Linked DNA regions of Ovis aries. The protein of the gene in region 1 purifies or fractionates together with the protein of each later gene. This does not show direct contact. Links are inferred from orthologs where the notes say so. Each region holds a gene or a part of one and is shown on either strand. Other genes may lie near its edges.

The links. Proteins that work in one complex are often made in the same cells at the same time.
Region 2: the proteins of ZFYVE9 (region 1) and PML purify together in Homo sapiens (affinity purification with western blotting; 3 studies listed by BioGRID and IntAct, with this or other methods). This does not show direct contact. The link is inferred for Ovis aries from reciprocal best matches to the Homo sapiens genes ZFYVE9 and PML.

Annotation. Positions count from the first base shown.
Region 1 is NC_056054.1:26,592,696-26,600,633, reverse strand, and holds the start of ZFYVE9 (zinc finger FYVE domain-containing protein 9), read right to left. Parts: upstream 4,070-7,938; 5' UTR 3,959-4,069; intron 1-3,958. UniProt on the Homo sapiens protein: Early endosomal protein that functions to recruit SMAD2/SMAD3 to intracellular membranes and to the TGF-beta receptor.
Region 2 is NC_056071.1:32,278,470-32,286,616, forward strand, and holds the start of PML (protein PML), read right to left. Parts: upstream 4,901-8,147; 5' UTR 4,822-4,900; coding exon 4,687-4,821; intron 2,459-4,686; coding exon 1,992-2,458; intron 1-1,991. Other genes in the region: STOML1 (stomatin-like protein 1), read left to right, coding at 7,624-7,756.

The DNA of each region.
Region 1 (7,938 bases):
TCCCAGACCAGAGAAAGCAGACTCTCAACAACTGGACTACCAGGGACATCCTTCTAACTTGTATTTTTAATTATGAGTAAAAGCTGAACATCTATTTATCTATCATATGCTTATTGGCTTTTTTGTCTACATATAGGCATATATATATATAGGTTGGGTTAGTCACTCAGTCATGTCCGACTTTTCGCAACCCCAGAGGCCTGGCGGGCTCCTCTATCCACGGGATTCTCCAGGCAAGAATATAGGAGTGGGTAGGCATTTCCTCCTCCAGATCTTCCTGACCCAAGGACCTAACCTGGGTCTCCCACATTACTGGTAGATTCCTTACCATCTGAGCCACCAGGGAAGCCTACACACACACACACACAGACACACACAGACACACAGACACACACACACACACAGACACACACACACACACACACACACACATATATATATTAAGCCACCAGGCTCCTCCATCCTTGGGATTTTCCAGGCAAGAGTACTGGAGTGGGTTGCCATTGCCTTCTCCAATATATACACACAGACACACACACAATGTTTGGAGTTGTTTTTATTTAAATTTATCTTTAATTGGAGGATAACTGCTTTACAATATTGCATTGGTTTCTGCTATATAGCAATACAAATCAGCCATAAGTATACATATGTCCTCTCCTTCTTGAACCTCCATTACACCTCCTACCCCATCTCACCCCTAGAGGTTGTCACAGAGCACCAGATTTGAGCTTCCTATGTCACACAGCAAATTTCTACAGGCTTTCTAGTTTTACACATGGTAATGTATATATTTCAATGCTATTGTGTCAGTTCATCCCCCCTCTTCTTCCCTCACTGTGTCTACAAGTCTGTTCTCTGTCTGCATCTCCAATATTGCCCTGCAGACAGGTTCATCAGTTCCATATTTCTAGATGCATTAATATATGATATTTGGTTTTTTTATAACTAACTTCACTCTGTATAATAGGCTCTTGTTCATCCACTTTATTAGGATCTCTATTCCAGTTTAATGCTTATTCTTTTTTTTCTACTTGGAAGTCATCCATTTTTTTGTAATCAAATTCATCAGTTTCCTTTATGGTTTTTACATTTCACATCATGCTTAGAAAAGCCTTTCTCATTCCAATATTATAAAAATGTTAACATATGTTTTCCCTGCTATTTTCATGGCTATTTTTGTTTCACTCTTTCATTGTCTAGAATCTATTTTGGCAGTAAAAGTTCTGTAACTTGCTTTTCTCATTCCAAAATAAATCCTATATAACTTTCCACATCATACTTCATTTATTTATCTATGCATATAGAATTTTTAAATATTCCTATATCATAGCTTATTTAAATGTTTAATAATTATATAGAGCTATACATTAGTGAACAAGGCTGAGTGCCGAAGAATTGATGCTTTTGAACTGTGGTGTTGGAGAAGACTCTTGAGAGCCCCATGGACTGCAAGGAGATCCAACCAGTCCATTCTGAAGGAGATCAGCCCTGGGATTTCTTTGCAAGGAATGATGCTAAAGCTGAGGCTCCAGTACTTTGGCCACCTCATGCGAAGAGTTGACTCATTGGAAAAGACTCTGATGCTGGGAGGGATTTGGGGCAGGAGGAGAAGGGGACGACAGAGGATGAGATGGCTGGATGGCATCACCGACTCGATGGACGTGAGTCTTAGTGAACTCCGGGAGTTGGTGATGGACAGGGAGGCCTGGCGTGCTGCGATTCACGGGGTCGCAAGGAGTCGGACACGACTGAGCGACTGAACTGAACTGATACATTAGTTATGTTAGTAGTTATTTACAGTACTGATGAGCATTTACATTTTCTATTTTTCAACAAGTACCAAGAATGCTGCCATGTAAGTGCCTCCTTACACACATGTTTTTTTTAAGATACATATTAAGAAATAGGATTATTGAGTTATTAGTATGTGTCTTCTTCGCTATTCATAAACTACCCTAAAAATGATATGCCTAATACATTTTCATTTTAAGAATTCATTCAACAAATAGTTAAGACCTTTTTTAGGCTGAGCATACAGCATAATGGTAACCAATTCAGACAAAGGCACCACTTTGGTGATTAAGAATTCAGGCTCTAGAAAGAGGGAGGGCTCAAATGTATATTTATGGCTGATTCACACTGTTGTACAGCAGAAGCCAATACAACATTGTAAAACAATTATCCTCCAATTAAAATAAATTTTAAAAAAAAAAGAGTACAGGCTCTAGATATAGGTTGCCTGAATTCAAATTTGGGCTTAGTAAGTACTGAATGTCTGACCTTGGACAAGTTTCTCTATCCTTGTGCCTCAAGTACCTTAACAATAAAACAATAATAATAATAGTACCCACCTCACTAGGATTATTGTAAAGACTGTTGTGCCTGCCACAGAGAAAGTATTCAATAAAGTTGTCTTGTAATTATTACTTAAATTTGCTCTAACCAACTTTCTTGCCAATGAGAGAGGTGAAAATATCATTTTACTATTTAATCACCATTTCTCTGATTATCGATAAGACTGACATACATTTTATCTTTTTTACTTTCTATTCTGTGATCTGTTCAGATCTCTTATCCGTTTCTTCTATCAGGATGTTTTGCACTCTTCTTAATGTGACACTAGATGAGATGCAAATATTTCATAGCATGATGCCTAAGCTCTGACCCACAACTGTGGGGTTCTATTTGTGGCCAAGTTACAAGAATAGCAGTGCTGACTACTGTCCTGCTAAGAGAATTTCATGTTCTGCTCTCTAAAAAGATTTCTGAGTGCTTAGATTCAGGGGAAGAAGGTAAGGAATACTCTTCAGGCAATGGAAAGTAAAAGCTAAAGGCAAAGGGATGGTTTCTATCTTATCTACTCTTGTTTCCTTAACATGTGGTACAGGGCCTGACACATAATGGACTCTGGATAAACACATATTGTTTGAATGAATGCAAAATCTCCTTACTAGGTTACAAGCTCCTTGTGGGCAAGGATGGCATCATACCTATGTTGGTATCACTCCCACAATACCTAACAGTGTTTTTACACAGAGGAAGTACTCAATTGTTTTTACTGAAGAGACTGCTATCTCTGAACCTGTGTGATAGCAGCTGAGGTAATCAATGAAAAACAAACAATCCCTTCCTCATATAAAGATTAGACTCTGATTTGCAGCTGTAGAAGCTCTGTATGGAGCTGTTGTTTAGGACTCTGGTGTTGTTTAGGTCACTTCTTGAATTCACCATCTGTTTCAAGTCTTTGTTCTAGGAAAAAAAAAATGTCCCTGGCAGTTACTATGCTGTGAGCCCACGTAGGTGCTGCTGAGACCACGTCCGTGCAATGTGTCTCAAGCTTTAGTTTCCCTCCAAATTATTCCTTCTCAATGCGTTATTTAGAAATAAGTCCAGACCAGCGCACTAGACACAGTCGTTTGGGTCTCCTGATTCCTCGTCCCACATGCCCTGCCTGACAGAGCTCTCTGCTTTGCTAAATGCTGTGAGGCTGATTATTTTCCGGAATATCACTCTTGGTGATCTAGGCTTGTAGTCTCATGTGAAACAGTGAGACAATGGCATAATGGAAGAAGTGCAGGATCCCTGGAGCCAGACGATCTGGGTCTGCATATTAACTCAGCCATTTACTACATCACCTAAATATCCCTAAGTCTCAGTTTCCTTAAGTTTTCAAATGGGAATAACAGCAATACTATATCTAACCCACCTGGGTCACAAGACTGCAATAAGAGTTATAAAATTAGATTAAAATGCAGAAATATTTTATAAAGTATTCTACAATTCTATGTCACTACTATATGAAATAGGACTCAAAGACTACACTAAAAGAATCCCACCAGACAATTCATAAGAGCAAGGATCATTCATGTCTGACTGGGTCATAGCTGCATCTCCACAGCCTGGCATATTTGTTGAAGGAAAGACTAAGAGAATAGAAAATGAAAAGAGCACCTACCAGTGACCTTCATCAAGTTAATAAAGCTCTGGGTTTCAATTTGCTCATTTGATACCACTTATGTCAAAAGATGTAACATCAAGGATACTTTTCTATTTCCTTCTTCCTCCAAAGCCAGATATACTTTAGGACCTGGTTGTATAAAAAGTAGATACTCTTAGTAGTTTAATAATAATGGGTACTGACTCAAATTATTCTAGAGATAGTCAGGAACATTACACTATCATCTGCCCTCTATTCTCACTAAAAATTAATACTGGCTAATCAGACAGAGAAAGATAAATATCACATGAAATCACATATATGGAATCAAAAAATGATACAAGTTAATTTATTTATAAAACAGAAATAGACTCACAGACATAGAAAACAAACTTATGGTTACCAAAAGGGTAAGGAGCAGGAAGGATAAATTAGAAGCTTGAGATTAACAGATATACACTGCAATATATAAAACAGATAAAAAGAACCTACTATATACAACAGAGAAATAAATTTACTATCTTATAATAACCCATAATGGAGAGAATCTGAAAAACAAATATATATATATATACACATACACACACATTTTGAAACTGCATCACTATGCCGTATACCTAGAACTAACCTTAACACTATAAATCAGCTATACTTAAATAAAAAGTTTAGGAAAAAAAAATCAGTACTGGCAAAGTCATTATTAAATACTTTATCTCTGCCATGTTTAAACTGCTTCAGTTCACTCAGACTCACATATACATAAACCCTTAAAATGAACCACTGCCGTAGTAAAGTTAAGTCTTCTCAGACACAAGTGCATCTTTATGTAACCTAGACAAAATAACCTCTGGTGCTCAGCCATGTCCGATTCTGTGACCCTATGGACTGTAGTCCACCAGGCTCCTCCGCCCATGGAATCTTCCAGGCAAGAATACTGGAGTGGGTTGCCATTTCCTTCTCCAAGGGATCTTCCCAACCCAGGGATCAAACCCGTCTCTTGTGTCCCCTACACTGGCAGGCGTAATTTTTACCACTGCACCACCTGGGAAACCAAGACAAAATAACTTACTACTAGTCAAAACCATTTAAGCATCAAAGCCACATCAAAACAAATTCCATTTATTGGTCACAGTACATAAAATGGGAATAATGTTTACTGAGTTACCAAAAGTGTCCACATACATAGCATCCAATTCACATTATGCAGCAGAATTAAAGCTAGGGCACCTCACAACAGAGCGCCAAAATACATGAAGCATAAACTGACAGAACTGAAGTAAGAAACAGACAATTCAATAATAAGAGTTGTATGTTTCACTACCCCACTTTCAATTGTGGAGTAGGGAGAAGATTAGTAAAGAAAAAGAAAACATGAACGCTGTATGCCAATTAGACCTAAAGACCTCTACAAACACTCCATCCAACAACAGCAGGATATACATTCTTCCCAAGTGCACATGATTAGGAGAGACCAGGTTAAGCCATAAAACAAGCCTCAATACATTAAGAAGGAATGAAATCATACAAAGTATGCTTTCTGACCACAATGGAATGAAAGTAGAATTTCCTTTGAAATTCAAAACTATATGAAAACTAAGCAACACACTAAACAAACATGTCAAATTATAAATCACAAGGAATATTACAAAATACTTTCAGGTGAAATGAAAATACTTTAAGAAACCAAATACAACATACCAAAAGTTATGGGATACACTGAAAGCAATGCTTAGAGGAAATTTTATACTATTTTAAACATCTACTTTTTTTTAAAAAAAGTAAAATTACAAATAGTAACTTTCTACCTTTAGAAACTAAAAATAAAACAAGGAGGGGGGCAGGAGGCAAACTAAACCCAAAGCAAGCAGAAGGAAGGAAATAATAAAGATTATGAAACAGAGCATGACCCTGTGGGGCCCTCCAGGATACAAATCTTTTCTGTGTCTCCCATCTCTTGTTTGCAGGAAAGAGGTTTCATTCAGCCTCCCTGGTCTTCCCTGAGTTCCAAAGGGCAGATTCAAACAGTTGCTTATCGGGAAGGAAGGGCAGAAGGAAAAGGAGCAGTCAGGAAGCGATAGTACAGCCGTGGCGCAGTCCTGGTTCCTCCTCAAGGAACATATATATAACAATGCCTTCGAGTTCTTCTGTAGGAACTAAAGCCCCCACACAGGTGGAGGGTGGCAACTTCACACTAAACACAAGACTCCTGGAACACCACTCTGTTACCTCATCACCAACCAATCAGAGGTAAGTCTGTACACGGTAGAAGATAATAAAGGCTCTGACCCCCTCCCCAAATGATTCTCCCTTTAAAATCTTTAATGGCTGAGCAGGATCTTCAGAGTTGGTTTTAGAGTTCGCCTTCTCCCCCGGCTGTCAACCTCCTGAATAAAGCAATCACACATTTTCAAACCAATACTTGCCTCTCTCTACTGATTTGTTGCCAGTGTAGCAACCGTAGGAGTTACAAAACTGGAACTCCAGTCTGGCAGTCCAGGCAAACAAAGGGAAGACGGGATGCCTGGGGCTTCCCAGGGGCTCATTCTATTGGTGAATTCAAAACATAACGTAAGAAACTAAAGGCAAAGGAGAAAAGGAAAAACATACCCATTTGAATGCAGAGTTCCCAAGAACAGCAAGGAGAGATGAGAAAGCCTTCCTCCATGATCAGTGCAAAGAAATAGAGGAAAATAATTGAATGGGAAAGACTAGAGATCTCTTCAAGAAAATCAGAGATAGCAAGGGAACATTTCATGCAAAGATGGGCACAATAAAGGGCAGAAATAGTATGGACCTAAACAGAAGCAGAAGATATTAAGAAAAGGTGGCAAGAATACACAGAAGAACTATACAAAAAAGATCTTTATGACCCAGATAGCCACGACGGTGTGATCACTCACCTAGAGCCAGACATCCTGGAATGTGAAGTCAAGTGGGCCTTTGGAAGCATCACTACAAAGCTAGTGGAGGTGATGGAACTCCAGTTGAACTATTTCAAATCCTAAAAGATGATGCTATGAAAGTGCTACAATCAAAATGACAGCAAATTTGCAAGACTCAGCAGTGGCCACAGGATTGGAAAAGGTCAGTTTTCATTCCAATCCCAAAGAAAGGCAACGCCAAAGAATGCTCAAACTACCCCACAATTGTACTCATCTCATGCACTAGCAAAGTAATGCTCAAAATTCTCCAAGCCAGGCTTCAACAGTACGTGAACCATGAACTTCCAGATATTCAAGCTGGGTTTAGAAAAGGTAGAGGAAACAGAGATCAAATTGCCAATATCCACTGGATCACTGAAACAGCAAGAGAGTTCCAGAAAAACATCTACTTCTGCTTTACTAACTACACCAAAGCCTCTGACTCTGTGGATCACAACAAACTATGGAAAATTCTTAAAGAGATGGGACTACCAGACCACCTTACCTGCCTCCTGAGAAATCTGTATGCAGGTCAAGAAGCAACAGTTAGAACTGGACATGGAACAAAAGACTGCTTCAAAATCGGGAAAGGAGTACATCAAAGCTGTATATTGTCACCCTGCTTATTAAACTTATATGCAGAGTAAACATGAGAAATGCTGGACTGGATGAAGCACAAGTTGGAATAAAGTTTGTTGGGAGAAATAGCAATAACCTCAGAAATGCAGATAACACCACCCTTATGGCAGAAAGCAAAGAAGAACTAAAGAGCCTCTTGATGAAAGTGAAAGAGGAGAGTGAAAAAGTTGGCTTAAAACTCAACATTAAGAAAATAAGATTATGGCATCTGGGCCCATGACTTCATGGCAAACTGATGGGGAAACAATGGAAACAGTGTCAGATTTTATTTTTCTGGGCTCCAAGATCACTGCAGATGGTGACTGGAGCCATGAAATTAAAAAACGCTTGCTCTTTGGAAGGAAAGTTATGACTAACCTAGACAGCACATTAAAAAGCAGAGACATTACTTTGCCAACAAAGGTCCATCTATTCAAAGCTATGGTTTTTCCAGTAGTC
Region 2 (8,147 bases), on another chromosome or scaffold:
TTACAGCAGTGAGGATTAGCATAGGAGTTGGTTCTGCACTCTGTGGGTGCAGAACAGAGATTTACAAACATATTCATGACTTCATGGACATGTAGTACAAGATTAAAAGGGCATTTTAGATCAAAGCCAAGAGCAGATTATTCATAAGCTAGAGGGATATATTGTACAACATGGGGCATATAGCCAATGGTTTATAATAACTGTAAGTGAAGTATAACCTTTAAAATTGTGAATCACTATCCTGTACACCTGTAACTTAAAGAATATTGTACATCAACTATGCTTCAATTTAAAAAAATGGGAAAAATCAAACAAAAACAGTGGATTATTCAGTGAAAGTTGTTGAGAGAACTGGCTTTCCATCTGGAGAGAAATGAGAAGCGAGTGTTCCTATCTCACATCACACAAAGATAAGTTCCATGGGAATTAAAGATTTAACAATAAAAATAAACTATTAAAATAGAGTATAAGTAAATATTTTCAGTATTGGCATAGGCAAAATCTTTCCTAGGATGACCAAAGCCAGATACCATAAAGGAAGAGATTAATGGATTAGACTATATAGAAGTAAAAACTTGAACACAACACCTCATATTAAATGAATGACAAAGGTCAACACAGGAAAAATGTCGGCACTATAACAAGCTCTTATAAGAGTAAACAAATAAACAAGCAAAGGACCTCAGCAAGCAATTCACAAATGAAGAAGCTCAATGACCAATAAACACAAGAAAAGCCACTGGACAGCCTCAATAATAAATAAAGAAATCCAAACTCAAACAATAATATCAGCCCTTGTGGAATCTGGTAGTACAGGTGGTAAACCTCCTAGCAGGAAGCAAGCAAGTTATAGTTTAGCCAGAATGGAGCTCTGTCTGAGTGTGCCCCTTATGGGCAAGGAATACCTTCACTTTGTAAGCTGATTCCCCAAGAATCGTATACAGCTATCTATTGTAGTTGCGTGAGAAGAGAGCATTAAAAGTTCACACAGGTATGCTATCATTTTGCTAAAAAAGGGAACAATACATCCTATAAGACTATATACTTATATCTGCGTGTATATTCATAAACTCTGGAAAGTTTTAAAGCTGGTGAAAGTGAAAGTCGCTCAGTCATGACTGATTCTTTGTGACCGCATGGACTATGCAGTCCATGGAATTCTCTAGGCCAGAATATTGGAGTGGGTAGCCTTTCCCTTCTCCAGGGGATCTTCCCAATCCAGGGACCCAGGTTTCCCACATTGCAGGTGGATTCTTTACCAGCTGAGCCACAAGGGACGCCCTTTAAAGCTGGTAACAATGGTTAACCTTGAATTGGGAAGGGAGAAGGGATGGGTATTAGGCAGATGTGGGACAAAATGGAATGGAGATTTTGTTCTCTCTATAAATCTTGTTAGCAATTTTCTGAACCGTATTAATGCATTTTATCTGTCTAAAAAAACCTGAACTTAAATTCCTGTGCTGCGCGGTGAAAATAATTAAAATGGAACTTGACTTTCTTCATACAGATCCTCCCAGGACGCTCGGGAGTGCTTTTGAGCCAGGAACTAACTACCCACATCTCATTCTACAGTCCTAGCTATAGGGAGACTGAGTGGCAGTGCTTATGGAAAATTTCACTCTTTAAGAGTTTTTAAAGGGCAGTTTGGTAACATGTATCGAAATGTAAAACTTTCATATCCCTTCACCGAGTAACGTATTTTTAAAAATTTATCCTGAAGAAATGACTGGATATGTGTGAAAAGATGATTCTGCAGCATTATTTTCTTGTGAGGGGAAATTGGGAACTATTACTATCCATCCATTCGCACGGGAAGAGTGTAAACTGTGGTCGTCGCTACTGATGCTGCTGGTGTGTGGACCACACTGTGAGTTGCAAGGCCTCAGAAGCTCCTTGACCCACGCCCCAGCTATGAGGCTCTGGGTCTCTCCTCCCCGCACCCTCTACCTCGCCCTTGGATGCACCATCCCACCCTCGGCCAGCCTGCTCACCTGGTCAGCATAGGGCTGCGGTGGTTGGGGTTGGAGCAGAAGATGTTGTTGGACTTGCGGGTGCCGTCCAGAAACTCCCGCACCGACTGGCTGCGGAGCTCCGCCAGCGGCCGGGCCTCGTGCTTGAGGAACCACTGGTGCGCCTCGAAGCACTTGGCGCAGATGAGCTGCTCACACTCGAAGCACCAGTAGTGGGCCAGCTCTTTGCAGCGGGTGCAAAACGCCTGCTCGCGTGCGATCTGCTGGTACACCGACAGCCGCCGCTGCAGGCTCTCGAAGAAGACGTTGTCCAGGGCCTGCGCGCCGGCACCTGAGGGCCAGGGAGCCTGGCAGACGGGGCACTGTATGCCGGACTCCTCCAGGCATCCTGAGCACAGCGTATGCAGACAAGGCAGCAGCTTGGGGCACTTAGCTTCTGCCCGGCAGCCCTGGCAGCGCAAGAACTGGAACTCTTCCTCCGTGGCTTGCTGGGGAATCAGGGAGGGAGGTGAGACGTGAAGTCCCAGGAAGCCCCACCCAACCGGACACCCACCCTGTGGCTGCACGCTGAGAGTGGCACTTCCTGTTTCATACCAAGCTGTCAACGGATGACACAAAAACCCAGCCTTATCAGTATCCCAGTCCTCCATTGACTTAGGCCTTCTCACGCTCACTCCATGATTTACTGAGCATCCGTTTCTCATAAGACACAGTACCAGGCCCCAAGATACACGGATGTATAGCAGCAGTCCCCAACCCTTTGGGGACTAGGTTACCGTTTCCTGAAAGACAGTTTTTCTATGGGTGGGGTGATGTAGGGATGATTTAAATGCATTATATTTATTGTGCACTTTATTTCTGTTTCCACTGTGAAAATTCGGTAGTGCAAGTGATGAGAGCGGCTGTAAATACAGATGACGTTTTGCTCTCTTGCTGGCTGCTTGCCACTGTAAGCCCGGTTCCTAATAGGCCAGGGCAAGTGACAGTCCGTGGCCTGGAACTTGGGGACCCCTGATTCCAGGACAAACCCCTGCCTTCACAGGACTTTAAAAAAGGAGATTCATTAAATGTGTGTCATATAACCTCACAAAAAATGCTTACTGCACTTTGATGGTTCCTCAAAAACTTAAACATAGAACTACCATAGGACCCAGCAATTCTACACCCAGCTATATACCCAAAAGAACAGAAAACAGGATCCAGATGCTTGTACATCCATTATTCTGTACACAGCATTAGTCACAGTAGCCAAGGAGTGGAAACAACTGAAGTGTCCATCAACAAATGAATGGATAAACAAAATGTAGTATATACATACAATGGAATGTTATTTGGCCTTAAAAAGGACATTCTGATACATGCTACAACATGAAAATACCTTGAAGACATCATGTTAAGTAAAACCAGCCAAACACAGAGACAAATACTGTAGCATTCCACTTATATAAAATATCTAGACTAGGCAAATGCAGAGACAGAAAGTAGATTAGAGGTTACCAGCAGCTAGGGGGAAGAGGGAGAAGGCAATGGCACCCCACTCCAGTACTCTTGCCTGGAAAATTCCATGGACGGAGGAGCCTGGTAGGCTGCAGTCTATGGGGCCACTAAGAGTAGGACACGACCGAGCGACTTCACTTTCACTTTTCTCTTTCATGCATTGGAGAAGGAAATGGCAACCCACTCCAGTGTTCTTGCCTGGAGAATCCCAGGGACAGGGGAGCCTGGTGGGCTGCCATCTATGGGGTCACAGAGTCGGACATGACTGAAGCGACTTAGCAGCAGCAGCCAGGGGGAAGAGGAGAATGAGCAGCTTAAAGGGTACAGATTTTTGTTTCAATGAAAAAATTCTGAAAATTGACTGTGGTGATGGTTACATTGTGGAATGCATTTAATGCCACTGAATTGTACACCTAGAAACAGATAAAACATAGGTAACATAATACAGTACCTGGCACGTGAGAAATACTCGAACATGTTAACTAGTATGGTAAATATTATTCCTAGGTGTTATAATGCAACAAATAAAAGTTAATGCAATATTATTTGTACTTTCATGAAGGAGAGTAAAAAGGGGCTGGAAGAAAACAGAGCAAGTGATCTAAGCACTTCCTTTGGGGGTGGGGAGTTTGTGCAGGAAAAGACCAGTAAACCCTTAAAAAACTCCTCAGGATGGGGGTTGAGGGAGCACGGTGCTCCAGGAAAAGGATCCAAGTAGCTTCCTAGAGGAGACACCACAGGAATCCTGGGCCTTAGCCAAGACACCTCTTTCCCACTTTCTGATCTGAGGACAAAGATTCTGGCTTGTCCACACCTGGAGCTTGTCCGGGTCTGCCAGGCGGGTGCGATAAGACTATTACTTCCATTTTCCTTAACAGGTGGTCCTTCATCTGAGGTAGGGGATAAGAGGCATGTCGCCAGCTTGGGCGGAAGAGACTTGGGCGGAAGAGTCTGGTCCGGGGTGCCACTCACTCTTAGCATCACCCCGCTGCTCGTGGAGAATCGCAACCCAGAGAGACCTCTCCCCTCAAACTCATGCTGGCCCCCTTTTCTACTTTCCACGACCCCTAACCCAGCCGAGAAGATCAGGACCCTCGCACCTGGTCTCCCTTCTTTACGTCATTTTTCAAGGTACTTGGTCAAGTTCCCCAGTCCCTCTATTCCACCGACCATACGTAATTAACAAAGCCCCAACCCCATCTCCCAAACGCAGTAGTACCTCTGTGGGGCTGTCGCTATGGCTGGACTGGTGGCCTTCGGAGAGTGCCTCCGGGGGAGGCATGCTGGGGGAGTGGGGCAGTGCGGGGTCCTGCTGGGGCCCCGGAGATCCGGCAGGTTCCGGATCCTGCTGCATGGAATCCAGCGCAGTTTCGATTCTCAGTTTCGCTCTTCGAGAGCGGAGAAACTGAACCCGAGGAAGGCGCCAGAACACTGAGCTCCCGAGCAGCCCTAAAGGGGAGGTGCCAGCTCAGGGCCCACCTCCCAGAGGAAGTGAAACACTAGCTACCGGCGGTTCTAGGGTCGGAGAGGCTGGCCCACGGTCCTGAAGACACGCCCAGAGCGGCGAGGAGGGAGAGAAGAGCAGTCACACGCAGGACAGCGGCAGAACTGATGTTTGTGCAGAATGGAGGCCGTCCCTGCCCTCGGCTTGGAATCTTTCATTCAGCTCACATTGGCACAGCTTCGTGCCAGCCCTCAGCTGGGAGCAAGAGCCACACAGCCGGGCCACGCGTGGCTCCTACTTTGGGAAAAAAAGGGAAAGTGTTAGTCTTCTAGTCGTGTCCGACTCTTTGGGACCCCATGGACTGTCGTCTTCTAGGCTCCTCTGTCCATGGGATTCTCCAGGCAAGAATACTGGAGTGGGTAGCCATTCCCTTCTAAAGGGGATCTTCCCTACCCAGGGATGGAACCCAGGTCTCCTGCACTGCAAGCAGATTCTTTAGCGTCTGAACCACCCCAGATCTAATGCAGGAGCAGTCCCCCAAAGGGAGATTTTCACAGTGTTGAGACTGGCTGGACAGGAGATCACTCAGCTGGGATTTGAAGTGATGGTGGGAATTTGCCAGGGATTCAGAGGCTGGGGATGGGTGGGCAACACTTAAGACCGAGAGAACAGCATATGCAAAGCCATGGAGGTTTGAAACAGAAGCTGTTTCGAAACTAGTTTTGAAACAAGCAACTCATTTTGGTTATTTTCAGATTCAAGAGGGGACCCATGCATGATGTCAGACCAAGATGGGCTGGGCAAGATGAGGCTAAGGAGATGGACCAGGGCTATGGACCACAGAGAGTTGGTGAAGGGTTTGAAAACAAGCAACCATGTCCATTGTGTATATTGGGACAGTCTCTCTGACAACCTAGGGCCAGGTGGTCTGGGACAGTGGCTGTGGGATGAGAGGAGGGACCCGAGTCAGACTGGGAGGACGCTGAGTGGAGATGACGGCATCAGGATGATGCCTGATGTGACAGCAGAAAGGGCTGGTGGATCTGAGGCAGTAGGGAATGGGGAGAGCTGGTGGGCAGGTATGAGAAAAATGAGGAGACAGCAACTTAGCAATGGGTCAAAGGAGAAGCCCCAGCTCTCAGCTGGTGAGGGGAGAAGGCACAGCTCCAGGTGGCATCACTGGGCCAGTGCCCCTGTCTTCAAACCTCAGTGCATTCCATTCATTGTGATGACTCCCATGGACCCATTTTGTGTTCAGTTCCAGCTTGGGACAGATTAGAAGGGCAGTGACAGGACTTTGCTCTTGTAAAACTTTAATAGTTGGGGGTGGGGTGAACTTATAGTTCAGGGTCAGGGTGGGAGGATAGGGGAGAACTAACTTCATAGGGACAGTGCAAAAACCTCAAGAGCCTACTGCATGCACCCTGCTGCTTGATTAGTGTCCCCAGGGCTTTAGAACCAGGCTATGAAGCTAGGAAAAGCCAAAGATGGTAAGGAGCCATTTGCAGAAGGGATCTGGAAGTGGACTATGGCTGAGGGGCCTTAGGAGGCAGGACCGGCATGTGTGGAACAAGAAAAGCTTTAATTTCTTTGCCCACTTTGGAACACAGCCTGCCTTGTTGGAAATTAAAATTTGTTGGTATACAGAGTAAATTCACCTTTTGCATTTGGTTTTCTCCAGCCAGGGAGAAGCAAGTTACCTTTGGGTACCTGGATTGTGGGGTGTGCTATTTCAGCATCTGTAAGACTGAGGGTCTGTGATGCTCGGGAGGGCTGTCCTGGGATAGCACTATGCAATCCCCTTCTTTACTCTGCCATGTTCCCTGAGATCTGCACACAGAATTTCTTTCTTTTTGTGCTGAAGCTCAGGCCCTCCTGCCCCAGGTTGACCCATAATGACCTGGTTACCCCTTCATGCAACAGATAAGCACTGACATCCTCTCTGTGCCAGGCCTTGCTTGCTGGGCTTTGTTGTTGTTCAGTCGCTCAGTCATGTCCAACTCTTTGCAGCCCCATGGACTGCAGCACGCTAGGCTTCCCTGTCCTTCACCATCTCCCAGAGTCTCCTGGAGCTTGCTCCAACTCATGTCCATTGAGTTGGTGATGCCATCCAACCATCTCATCCTCTGTCGTCCCCTTCTCCTACTACCTTCAATCTTTCCCAGCAACAGGATCTTTTCTAATGAGTCGGCTCTTCTCATCAGGTGACCAAAGTAATGGAGCTTCAGGGATACGAACAGGAATAATTTGCTGATCATGCCTTGGAGAAACCCTAAAGGCAATCTTCCCCAACTCCGTCCAGAGTTTGCTAGTTTGTGCTGAGAAGGCTGGTAGCATTTCTTTGCTTCTGGAGAAGATTCAGCTCCTGAAAACTCCCTTGCAAAGCTCAGCTTCTCTTCCTGCTCCTTTTCTAAGACCTAGTGGGAAAAGGTTTAGGAGGAGCGGACCGCTGCGGGCCTCCAGGACCACTTGACCACCCTTCCTCCCAGCCCCGCGATCGCAGTTCGGTCCTCCCAGCGCAGGGGGCGCTATGCAACGGTGCGAGCCGGGCGCGGTCGGCCTCCTCCTCCTGCACTCGGGCCGCCCCTCCCCCTCCCCCGGCAGCACAGGCGAAACCGGAAGCAGCGGTCGGCGGGGGCGGGGCCGTGTAGCGGCTGGCTGGTCAAGCCCCGCACTGCCCTGGGGCGCGGGGCGTGCCCTCTGTTGGGAACCATGCTTGGCAGGTCTGGGTATCGGGCGCTGCCTTTGGGGGACTTTGACCGTTTCCAGCAGTCGAACTTCGGCTTCCTGGGCTCTCAGAAGGGCTGCTTGTCCCCGGAGCCGGGCGGCGTGGGGCCGGGGGCCGGTGAGTGGCCGCCCAGCGCAGCGGACCCGAGGGAGATCAGCAGGCACCCCCGAACTCTGCCTCTCGGGAGTCAGAGTGTCTTGCGTCCTCGCAGCCTGAGAGGAGAGGGGTTTTCCACGATGTGGAGAAGGGCTTGGATCAGGCACTGGGACACTACCGCCCATCCGCCCTTAGAGCTACGGGGCGGCAGCACTGGAGCTCTCTCACTTTCAAGAAGCCTCGCCCCACCTCGTTTCTTCTTGGCATTTATCACCCCAAAGGTTTCAGGTTTCCGTTTTGCCCAGAAAGAAACTAAGGTCAAGGCATAGGAGGTCACCAGCACGCCAAGAACACTTGGTCGCCAAGAAGTGGCAGAATCTTCACCTCAGGGGACACCTCTAGATTCCTCAAG